3 linked regions of the Oryzias latipes genome follow. The protein of the gene in region 2 interacts with the protein of the main gene of each other region in a biochemical or structural test. Links are inferred from orthologs where the notes say so. Each region holds a gene or a part of one and is shown on either strand. Other genes may lie near its edges.

Region 1 (3,652 bases), on a different chromosome or scaffold from region 2:
TGACCAGAGCTCCGCCCACTTCAATAAAGTTCAGAAAGTTGAACCTCAAAATAAGAGATTTCGCACAACCTTTTAGTAAATTCAGCCCTTTTTTCTTTCTCTGTCTTTTTTTTTTAATGGGAAGTTGCTCCTTTTTGGAACCAGCCTCCAGTGGTCTTTTGAGGAGGTTTAGCATTAACCTCTAGAACAGAAGGTGCTGGCTACACCTTATCCCTTTAAGCTTTTTTGGATGTTTACATTAAACTAATCAGGAGTTTGGTGTAAATCCGCTTAAAAATATTTTAAATTAAGCAAATGAAGCAATTAAATGACTGAAAATTAAGGTTATTGCCAATTATTTCATCTTATTTAATGTAATTAGCTTTCAAACCTTTAATCTCCTTTGCCTCTTAATAGCATTCAGTAGCGGGTTTTTCCAAATGGTTTTGGACCACCACAGACTTTTATTTTGCTCCATGACCAAATAGTCCTAACTAGACAGCCTGGAAATTCCCAAAAATAATCTCACAAGTCCCTAAATCTAAAGTACTAAAACATCCTCACACAAGCTTGGAAAGGTTTTTTATGACTGAAGGTTCCTTTATTTTTGTTAAACAAATTGAAAGCAGCATTGATTGAAGTGTCTCAATGGTTTGCTTAATTATGCATAAATAATTCTTAAACTTTGATCCAAAGAACAATCACCTTAAAGGCATTTAGCTAAAATCCTGAAAATTGCACAGACTGTTATTTAACCCTTGTGCTATCCTAGGCACTTTTACCTTGGGAGTTGGGTCATCTAGACCCACTAGACCACATGTGTCAAACTCAAGGCCCGGGAGCCAAATCTGGCCCTCCATGTCATTTTATGTGGCCCGCAAGACCATAAAAGTTTTTAATTTCTTAAGATAAAAAATAAAAATTAGTGTGTATTTATTCATATCTGGGGGGAATTAAACTTGAAACATCAGATTGGGGAATTATACATTAGAACTTACACACTGTCAATCTAACCTAACTTGACAGAATCAAATGTAAAAGGATTTATGCTAGAGTAACAAGCAAACATATGTTTTCTATGCAACTGGAACTGTCACTTTAAAAAGTGATAATAAATAAATGATGAGTTATTTAACATCAAGGAGTAGTTACATTTATTTTTCAGTTATATCTGGCCCTTTGAGGACAACCACTATGCTGATGTGGCCCTCAGTGAAAATGAGTTTGACACCCCCGCACTAGACAGTGGGCTGAACCTTTTTTTCTTAAATGATTTGGTGTCCATGGATTACATGAAATCTTTCCACCTTTATTCACCTTTGTCATGGTAGGAATAACATGTCAATGTAAGGGTGGGGTCATCTAAGATAGCACAAGGGTGAAATCATCATAACATGATCGATGTGCTGTTAATATCCCTGGAAACAAACTTTGATTTTACTCATGTTTTGATGCCAATAATTTTCATCCAATCAGGATTTTCATACGAATTGTCAAAAAGCCAAAAAATCCAATTTATATTAAGCCACCTAGAATTCATTTGAGCCTAAAAAAAAAAACATAAAAACTCACAAAGAAAGTATTTCATCTCAAATTCTTAAACTAAACAAGCTTATCAAAGTCAATTTCTGGTTGGAAGCTCGCCAACCCCTCCTACCTCTGAGGCAGCAGGCGTTCTGACAGAAGATATCCAGTCTGATGGATACTTTTGTCGTAGTCTCCGAACCTGGCCTGAACGGAGTAGGACGCCAGCAGCACGGCTGTCTCTGGGGGACAGTAGACCTCATCGGAGAGGATGGTCTCCTTCACCTGCATGAAGAAGAGCTTCTGCGTGATGTCCTGGATCAGCTCCTCGGCAACATCCTCTGGGAAGAACTTTGCAAGAAACCTAAACTGAAGCGGGTTCTCCTTTTTAATTTCTTGTGCCGTCACCTGTAAAGAATGTATTACAGTATTAGAGAAATCGGCTTACAGGTGGAAGTTAGAAACCATATCATCATGCATGCATTTTTCCTTTCATCTTCAAAGCTAATTTCCCTGAGAGAAATCTACCCAGGTTTGCTAATCCTGAAGACCTGGTTTACAGAAACCAGGTCTTCAGTTTACATAACAGAAAGCCAATAGCCTGGTTACTTATGCTCATGTAAACACACGATACTGAGACCTTGAGAAAAAGAGACGCATATTTGGAAATATTTAAAATAATTATGATCAACTTTAGAACAATTAACTATTTTAACAGATTCCAGTTAGAATACAGAACCAGGCATTTTGAATTTAGGTCAATTAGGAATATTTTGGGTCAAGTATGAGCTTATGAGCAACACCATATCGGCACACAATCTTAGCGCGCCAAGCATAAAGCCAAGCTCACATCGCCCTCGGCAACACCCATCAAGCAGCTACTTCCAAAGATATGTCTATGCTAGTGCGAATAAACGTGTTTCTGGATTCCGTGCTGAAAACCCTCCTGTTCACACGTAGCTACGCAAGTTTCTAAGACAGTTTTTGGGCTCCACATAAAAAGGAGGGAATTTCTTTCATATGTCGGAATAGAGCTGTGAAAGAAAAAGTCAGGAGCATGATTTGTGAGATTTGAGTTTTCGTATTGAGCTTTTCCAACTGTAGGCGGCAGAAAAGCACTAGTAAACAGTAGAACAGAAGAAGAAAAAGGCCCTCCCTGTGCGTCCACCGTGAATACCATGGACTAACAGCATGGACTAAAGAATGCGTGTCACATGCCCAGTGTCCCTACCTTCACACTCGTTGTTTCAATTGCTAAAATATTTGCATAATTTAGGAGAATCAAGCAGGGGTTCAACAAGTTCTGCCATCAGCTCATAATATGAGTCCTTTAAACCAGCTGCTATACTGGAAATGCAAAAAAATAAAATAAAATAGACGCACACCAATGCTGTAGCTACTCATCGACTTCAAGTCAAATAAGATCTCTGATTAAGGAGTTCCTTGAAATCGAGACAGTCTTTATCACTCTCGGTTTTCTGAGGACAAACATGAACTCTGTATGCGCATTCATGAAATGAGCAGGAAATATGCACCAACGTTTAAAGAGTAAACATTCATAATGTTGCACCTAATAAACTTCTGAAACATTGGGAGGTATTTTACAAACTAATGCCGACTTATTCTTCCTGATCATGACGTTAAAAGGTTTCTTACTTTTTTCTCCAGCTTTAGCCAGGTGCTGTATCCTTTGGTGTCCACGTACTGCAGCCCAAAGTACCAGATTTCCCTTAAACCAACAGTTTTCACCACCTGCAAAGTGAAAAAGAAAAGTGTGCACTTCTTATTAAATTATGTGGCGCAGTATGAAACTTTTAGAGAGGAATTGGCTTATCTAACCCAATAACTACATGTTTGAATAGTCTTTTAGGACTTCATCTACTCTTAAAAAGGGCAGGACATCACAACCTATTTGAAGACATCTCACCAAGACAAATTCTACTGGTTCCACTGGCAGCTTTATTTACCTAACAAGGGAAAAACATCCTATATTTCAAATCTTTTTATGTCTTTGCTTACAGCTGCAGCAGCTCCAAAAGGCTCCGACAATGTGAGTCTATTGTTTCAGAAGTGAAGGCGGGGGGTGATAATGTATAATGAGGGAGTTCTTGCATGACTGGCATCCAGACTGCAGGAAGACGCGGTGAAA
Region 2 (3,652 bases):
AGTAACAAGCAAACATGTTTCTATGCAACTGGAATTGTCACTTTAAAAAGTTATAGTAAATAAATAATGAGTTATTTAACATTATGGAGTAGATGCATTACATTTAGTTACATGTATAAGTTATATCTGGCCCTTTGAGGACAGCCGCTATGCTGATGTGGCCCCCAGTGAAAATGAGTTGGACCCCCCCCCTGGTCTAAAGGCTCCTGCAGCTGGGGGAGACTCACATGTGGCTTTTTGACGACAGAGCGAAGTAAAAACTGGAGAGTCTGACTTTACAAATATGATCAAGAATATGATTAGACTGACCTTGAACTATTTTCCAATAAAATACATGAATAAAGTATTGAAATAGTATTGAAGAAAACATGTTTTTAGTTGAAATTAAATGTTTCTACAGATTAAAAAGGCAGGAGTTAAAGTGTTGTCCTTTTTATTTTGTGTAGTTGTGTTGGTGATGCTCTGACCTGCAGAACGATAGAATTTCCTTTTGAATCAATTAGGAAAATCTATCAATCATATAAATGGTAGAATCTAAATGACCAGAAACTTTTAAAAACAATATCATCATTGTAAAGGAAAATGTGTGTGGAGCAAATACAAAAAGAATGGTTATATAGGGTTAAAATATGCACTTTTGGCCCGTCTTGTGGGGTCCAGATGACCCCCCCCCTTCCATTGAGGTGTTCTCCCTACCATGACAAAGGTGGATAAAGGTGGAAAGATTTCATGTAATCCATGGACACCAGTGAGGTTCACAAATCATTGAAGAAAAAAGGTTCAGAGCACTGTCTAGTGGGTCTAGATGACCCAACTCCCAATGTTAATGTGGAGGCATGTTAACGCTGGGAGTGGGGTCATCTTGACCCTACAAGACAGCACAAGGGTTAAAGGAGTTTTAGGAGAACTCTGAAGAAGATGTTTTGGTCAAAAACAACCTTAAATAGGTTTTATTGGTGGAAGGATCGCAGTCCCTAAAACTGGAGCTCCCTGGAGTTTCCTGAAGTTCCCACAGCGGTGACCGAGCCCCCATTTGACTAAGAACGTTGGGAATGCTGGTGAAGTCCAGCAGGGGGCAGCAGATCCTGCTCTAATCAGCCCCCTCAAAGCAGCGTGGACTCTAGTCTGACCCCGGAGGCCCCCACAGACCTGTGCTGTCCTCATGGACAAGCTGCTCCGCTGAAGGTCCACTGGGACAGTCAAACAAAGACAATCATGAAACCCCCGCAGGAGTGGGGGCCGCTCTGCCACTGTGGTTCAGTGACCCCGCCTGCATGTGAAAGTATGAGAACGGCCTTCATTAGCAGCTCATTAACATAATCCCTGAATCAAAGCTGCAGCAATCGCATCATCCTCCAGGACACACTGCTCTGAAAGAGTGTGTGTGTGTGTGTGTGTGTGTGTGTGTGTGTGTGTGTGTGTGTGTGTGTGTGTGTGTGTGTGTGTGTGTGTGTGTGTGTGTGTGTGTGTGTGTGTGTGTGTGTGTGTGTGTGGGGGTTTCTATGGTGAGGGGTCAGCTGACAGTTCACTGGCTGCTTGTTTGCCCCTCAGCCTTTGTGCAGGTTCCCCTTCAGAGGAGCATTGCTCACATTTGGTGCAGGAGGAGACGTCTTTCAGTGAAAGGAGGAGATCCAAGAACTGCCTTCAAAATGCAGCTGAGGTGAACATTCATCTGTGGACATCACGTTTCCAACATGTCTCATGTCCAGACAGCCCGAGAGAGCTTAAAGCGTTCAGCAAACAGGCACTTGCTTTGGCGCTCTGTTGGCACTAGAGGGCAGCACTCAAAGCATGCAATGCTTTTGTGTTTGCTACAAACTGAGATGACACGGTGGTAAAAGTCGTATTAAAGTCTCATTTTTGCAATCAGATCAGTTTTTCCTAATGACTCCAGCCTCCCGTCTAAGCCCCTCCCCCTTCTGCAGGGCTTGACAAACTCATCTTTTCTGAAAGCTGCAAAACTGCTAATGAATGCAGCAACAGATTCAAAGTCAAAAAGCAGATTTAAAGCAGCTAAACGTCAGTTTAGTTTGGCTTAGTAAAGTTATAGTTCAAACAATCAGCATCCTGCTTCTCTGTTCACGTCTCTTTGTGCATGCATGTTTTTGCAGGAGCATGTATTTAAGGGCGTTTGTTCATGCCTGTGTTTGTGCATGTGTGTACTTGTGTGTGTTTGTGCATGTGGACATGAGTTTTTCACGTATTTGTTTATGAACGTATTTTTGCACAAGTGTTTTTATGCCTGTGTGTGTGTTGGTGTGTGTGTGCGTTTGCACACGTTTTTGTTCATTCACGCGCTTTAGGCACAAGTGCGCATTTGTGTGTGCGTGTGTGCGTGCGTGTATTCACCTCCTCCTCTGATTCTCTCCTGGACTCTGCTTCCGGAAGCGCTCCTGCAGGAGAAGAGGAAACATGGCGGCTTGAGTCGAGTCTCCCCGTCGCCGAGGTCTTTTCTCAGATCTTCTGCTCACCCGTGACGTGCTCCTCGGTGGGCGTGACGTTGCACTTCTTGAAGAACTCTTCTGTTTCCGCGTCGACCACCAGCAGCCGGGTCTCGTCTCCTCCGGCTTTGATGGCGGCCACCACCTCGGAGTGCTGCATCCCCGCCACCGGCACGCCGTTCACCTGCAGACGGAGCAGCGGTTAAACTCTGTCAAATAAAAGAGGACTAGGGGAATCTGAAAAAGCTGTTTTATCTAAAGAAATCATTCTTTTCTACCATTTTAGAAGAGTTTGAACCAAAAAAAATATATAATCATTCAGTCATTGCACAGAAACACAGCAGGCGGAGAAGTGGGAGTTAAACCGCTGCACAGGTTTGGATTCTCCTCACTTGAACCCTGTTTGGAAGTTCAAACCAACAACTCAGGATCTGCAGCAAGTCCCAATAAAAGAGGTTTTCCCTTAAGCCCCACAGATCCAGTAGTAAACCTGTAAACTCCGGTGGAACCAGATTACCACCTTCATCACAGCGGCAGTGCTGCGACAGCACCACGGTGTCACGCCTGGGACAGCTCCCCGTAATGTTTAACCCGCTCACCATAAATGATTAAGAGCAGATGAATGAACAAACCCTAAAAAAGGAACCATTATCAGAAAATGATCCAGTAATTTTTCCAGCAAGAGGAGGCTGCTGTGCTGATAACGTGTGACATGTTTTAACACAGCTGAGTCATGAGAGCACCGCACAAACGTGCACACGGGCTGACACGGGCTTGTTCCTTCACCTGAACTTTGAACCAGGGCGTGGGGGGGGGGGGGGTCCTGAGGCCGCGACCCCAATCAGTAATTCATAGGATGCAGATGGAATCAGAGAGGAGACTTTTGCAATAATCAGGCTTTGTTTCCTAAAACAACAATAATAATAATTCCATCTCTCTGCTTTAGGCCTCAGTCACACACCCATGCAGGCCTGCTGCCGTTCTCTTTTTGGGTTGTTCGGGTCTGTTCAGGGTCACAGAGAGGAGCCGCTACATCTTGAAGGGAGCGCAGGTGTGTCTTGCAGTTCCCATGAGGCTCGTACGGCCACCTGAAGATGGAACGTACCATTGTCGTGCGTGTGGTAAATATATATGGTGAGGATAATGTAAGTTGCACGCACTTATGACAGACGGATGAGGCTGTCGCACGGAGCCCTGATGCTCCAGCCATC
Region 3 (4,436 bases), on a different chromosome or scaffold from region 2:
CTGGTTCACATAAGAGTTTGTTTAAGTTACTGATGGCCAGAAAGACGTTGAACAAGGTTAAGGTCAGGGTCCTCTCATGGCGTCTGTCAGGTCTAGCCGAAAAGCTTTGTGTTGCCTTTTTACTACTAGAGGGAGTTTTTGTGATGCCAATGAAGGTTGTAAAGTTTCATTTAAACACTGACTGAAAATGAAAGGAATGCTGGACTCCTTTAGGTTTTAGACATAGACCTGATCAGTCCAGATCTACCCCAAAACACACACACATCTAACTCCAGATTGAGATGTCGGTTTAGTACCTCCTTTGTTTTGAAGTAACACAGAAACCAAATCCTCTCCAGTATGTCTAGTATTTTGTATAATATATTTTCTTTGAATCAGTATTAGCGTTTCTGTGTGATGCAGAAAGCTACAGTTGTGATTTCTGGATTGTTCTCTGGCTCTGATGCTGCAGAGGAAACGCCGTCCTCCATGCACTCCAGGCTCAGAAAAGATCTGCAACAACTTGCTTTTGACACTGGATCTCTGTTCCTCTGAGGAATGTTTTGAGGTTTTAGTCCTCCCTCCCCTGAAACTGTGTGCAACCTTAAACTGATAACATGTTTCACTTTATCAGTACGTTTAGATGTGCCGGAACTGTTTCTGCTATTTTGTGATTCACTGAAAGGCAGCTGAGCAGAGTAAAACCAGGAGTGGACAGTGAGAGGCAACTCAAGAGAGTCTCTGAGAGACTTGAACTACTGACTCAGAGGGGTCTCACTCCCAACATGTCACGTTCTCAAATGCGTGCAAAGATGTGGACTTTAGGAGGCGATTGTCATTCACTGACCGGTTTGACTCAGCAAAGATTCTCACTCTCTCTGTCAGATTTCTGCTCCCTGCTTTTATTTTGAAGGGAAGCAGTCCTTCAAATGTCCAGACCAGATTTCAAACTTTAAATTGTAATGAAGCTTGTTTACAAAAACTACCAAGTACTAACATTTTTTTGCTGTATGGTCTTGGATGTGGAAAGACTGAAGGAGACCCTGAACATCTCCAGTGACTCTGCTGTCTGTTGTCCAGTGTTTTTATGGTGGTTTTGTCTCCACTAAAACCCCCCACCAAACTCACACACACACACACCCACACACACACCCACACACACACACACACACACACACACACACACCCACACACACACACACACACACACACACACACACACACACACACATTCTGGTTATCATCTTGTATTCCTTTTCAGTGGCTGCTTCAGGGACAATACTGATGATTTCAAATATACATGTTTTAAATGACTGTTAGACTGAAATGAGCTTATAGTATATTTCCTAAAGTTCTGACTTGACAATTGATGTTTTTTTCTTGAAAGATTTACCCTGGATTTATATATATAATACAAAATAAGGGTTTTAAATATGTAAATTCAAAAGTTAAACTTAAAAGTGAGGAAAATAATCTTTGGTCGTGAGTTTTTGTCTTGATCTTGTCATTTGTGTGGAGCTGTTGCCTTTAAAGCCACATGAGAGACAATGAAGGACCTCCGGATGCTTTGAGAAAGTGGGATGGACGTTTTGTCCTCTATATCTCTCTGTCACTCTGGCTAAACGACAGGCAGGGCGAGCCAACAGGAGGCTGACCTGCAGGGAGAGCGCACGTTCGCGCTGAGAAGAGGAGACAGCCGTGCGTTTTTGCGCACGTTTTTAGCGCAGACAAACAGTGAAAGATCTAGGAGGAGAGGTGTCTGTCGGACCAGTGCCGTGCCGTGAACAGATGTGAGCGTTGAGCAGAGACCCTCAGGTGCGGAGAACGCAAACTGGCGCAGTTAGGATGCAGAAATCACCGGTGGAAGATGCCAACTTTGTCTCCAGATTCCTGTTTTGGTGAGACATGTTTAGTCAGTATGTGTGTCTGTGTGAGCGCGCGCCCGCCAGTGCTTTGGGTTGTGTGAGGATGGCATGATGCGCATTTTGCTGCTGATATAAGGGAGCGTTGGCGATCATTTGGAGACAAGAGAATCCAGACTAACTTTAGCTTAAAAAGTTTAACCTATGCTCTGTGTTTTGAACCGTCAGCAGACTCTCTGGTTCAGTCATGTGATTTATTACTGCAATACAGGTGGATCTGAGAGTGAAATGCGCACGTTATTAAAGAAATTCCCCACATGTAATTTTACACTCCTTTTTTTAAAAGCAGACTCAGGCATCGGCGATTCATTATTAATATAATGTAAAATGTGTTTAAATGTGCTCCTTCAGACCTGAGACACTCGCTGCTTTGACGCGTTGAGCCCCCTAACCCCCTAACTGAGGGGTTCGTGCGCTCTTCTTGCGCCCCCAGAGTGCACGGAGCACAAGGAGCATTTTCGAAGCTTCTCGACCAAAACCCTCTCACACTTCGTGTCTGGAAGTTTTATTTTTCCTTGTCAAGTTATCCTTTCACAACATTAGGAATCATTCGAATCCTAACGGAGACCTCGAAGTCCCAGAGTTCCGAAAGCGCGTGTGTGAGCTGCCCGTCTAATGTGTGGCTTTTGTACAGGTGGATCACTCCACTGCTGAGGAGGGGCCTCAACAAAAAGTTGGAGCTGACAGATGTGTACAAGGCTCCATCGTTTGATCTGGCAGACACGCTGTCAGAGAGACTTGAAAGGTTTGTAAGCAGAGAGGTCGTTGGTTGGCCCAGGATGACTTAACTCTGCTCATGGAAATCTACTTCTAGAGTTAGAAGTCATCTTATTGCAAAGTCAACACTAAAATCTCCATGATTATAAATAATCTAAGATGGGTTGTTTTGGATCAAACTCTGACACTTTGGCTTTAGTTATTTTAACGCAGTTAAAAAAAATCGCAGATGAAGAACTAATAGATTTTGCTCAAATAAAACCAATACAACACAAAAGTAACCTTAAAAATATATCTCAACATGAATAACCCAAAGATTTGGGTAGAAGAAATAACCCAAGTGTTTTAAGAGTGTGTTAATACATTCAATTTAGTTTCATTTATATAGGCCAAAATTACATCACAGTTGTCTCAACGGGCTTCACTAATTGTACAAAAAATTTAAAAAGTTATAAAATACAACAGCTGATGGCTAAACTAAACTAAACAGACTAAACTGAATTGTGTTGATGTGTATTCATTAAAAGATTAATGAATTTTGTTGTTACATGAACATTACAGTCTGTTTATGTGGCACATAATTCAGCATTCTGGCTGCTTTGGCAATGTTTTCGATTCAGACATGATGTATTTCTTCCATCTTTTTATAAATTATATTAATTTACAATTTTCTAAATACCTCTGTATAAATCAAATTTAGATTAGGGGATTGAGTCTTACTATCAATCAAGAGCAGAAAGTAGATCAGTGAAGTTGTTTCCTGACAGGACAAGTTCAAATTCCTGTTTAAGTCAGGGTCATCAGAGCTTACAGTATGGAGGCATCCTTTGAGTCCCACTTCCATCATCTTCTGATTTTTAAATGTTCCCAGTGCAATTTTAATCATGATTATGCTGTTTTTAGCCAAAATAATGTAAACAAGTTTCGCTTTCTAGGACATATTTTCTGCAGAGCAGCAGAAGTTAATTAGAAATTCGCCTCTGAGTTGTGGGCGGCACCGTTGGCGTGGAGCAACCACAATCCCCTCCCCGTTGCAGGGCAAAGCAGGGAGCTTATGGCCCACCCAACATATTTTCTACATCACATAGAAGCTCTTTTTCAAACAGCTTTTTTTTGTCGGCTCCTGATTTACAAAGATTTGAATAAAAAATAATCAGAAATGCAATTCTGAACCAAAATTTTCTTTATCTATTTTAAAGTCCCACTTTCTGTCACACACCTAGGTGTGTGACATTTGTTCTCCGCATTTGACCCATCCCCTGGGGGAGCGTTGAGCTGCAGACGAGCCGCGCTCGGGAGGCAGCAGCATTAAGGGTCTTGCCCAAGGGCCCTCACTGGGTGATGTTGTTGATAGCTCGCCATTGATATGGTAATTGCCCCCAGTACCATTGTTTATTCCCCTCCGGGAATTGAACCCTGGATTCCTACCTTACCAACTGAGCTACCCAGCCGCTAGCCATGTCCTCCATCATGAGAAAAATGTTAAAAACACCAAAGAAAAAACCATTTTCTTCAGAGTTGGTGTATAATAGTCAGTGAAGGACTTGATGAAATCCAAAAGTTTAATAGAGAGAAACCAGATTTTCTACAAGTTTGAATCCTGAGTTTCACCAACTTTACCTCCAGATAAAACAGACGTTGATTTCCATCTTCACTACAACTTCTACTTTTAGTCAGAAGGAGGATTTTGGACCACAGAGTCCGGTCCTTCTTCTCTTCAGTGTAGGGAGAACACTTTATTCAAAATCTTCCACAGGAAGTGCAGTCAACTCGTCTTTCCCCATCTTTCGTCTGCCGCTCCGACTTTGGTTTTCATCC

Evidence for each region.
Region 1: the proteins of Na(+)/H(+) exchange regulatory cofactor NHE-RF1 (region 2) and ezrin form a complex in vitro, tested with the Homo sapiens proteins (2 studies listed by BioGRID and IntAct). The link is inferred for Oryzias latipes from reciprocal best matches to the Homo sapiens genes NHERF1 and EZR.
Region 3: the proteins of Na(+)/H(+) exchange regulatory cofactor NHE-RF1 (region 2) and cftr form a complex in vitro, tested with the Homo sapiens proteins (9 studies listed by BioGRID and IntAct, with this or other methods). The link is inferred for Oryzias latipes from reciprocal best matches to the Homo sapiens genes NHERF1 and CFTR.

The regions. Positions count from the first base shown.
Region 1 is NC_019882.2:6,193,199-6,196,850, forward strand, and holds part of ezrin, read right to left. Parts: intron 3,256-3,652; coding exon 3,160-3,255; intron 1,912-3,159; coding exon 1,637-1,911; intron 1-1,636. UniProt on the Homo sapiens protein: Probably involved in connections of major cytoskeletal structures to the plasma membrane. In epithelial cells, required for the formation of microvilli and membrane ruffles on the apical pole. Along with PLEKHG6, required for normal macropinocytosis.
Region 2 is NC_019877.2:24,309,018-24,312,669, forward strand, and holds part of Na(+)/H(+) exchange regulatory cofactor NHE-RF1, read right to left. Parts: intron 2,626-3,652; coding exon 2,472-2,625; intron 2,394-2,471; coding exon 2,350-2,393; intron 1-2,349. UniProt on the Homo sapiens protein: Scaffold protein that connects plasma membrane proteins with members of the ezrin/moesin/radixin family and thereby helps to link them to the actin cytoskeleton and to regulate their surface expression. Necessary for recycling of internalized ADRB2.
Region 3 is NC_019864.2:3,306,144-3,310,579, forward strand, and holds the start of cftr (cystic fibrosis transmembrane conductance regulator), read left to right. Parts: upstream 1-1,608; 5' UTR 1,609-1,824; coding exon 1,825-1,877; intron 1,878-2,535; coding exon 2,536-2,646; intron 2,647-4,436. UniProt on the Homo sapiens protein: Epithelial ion channel that plays an important role in the regulation of epithelial ion and water transport and fluid homeostasis. Mediates the transport of chloride ions across the cell membrane.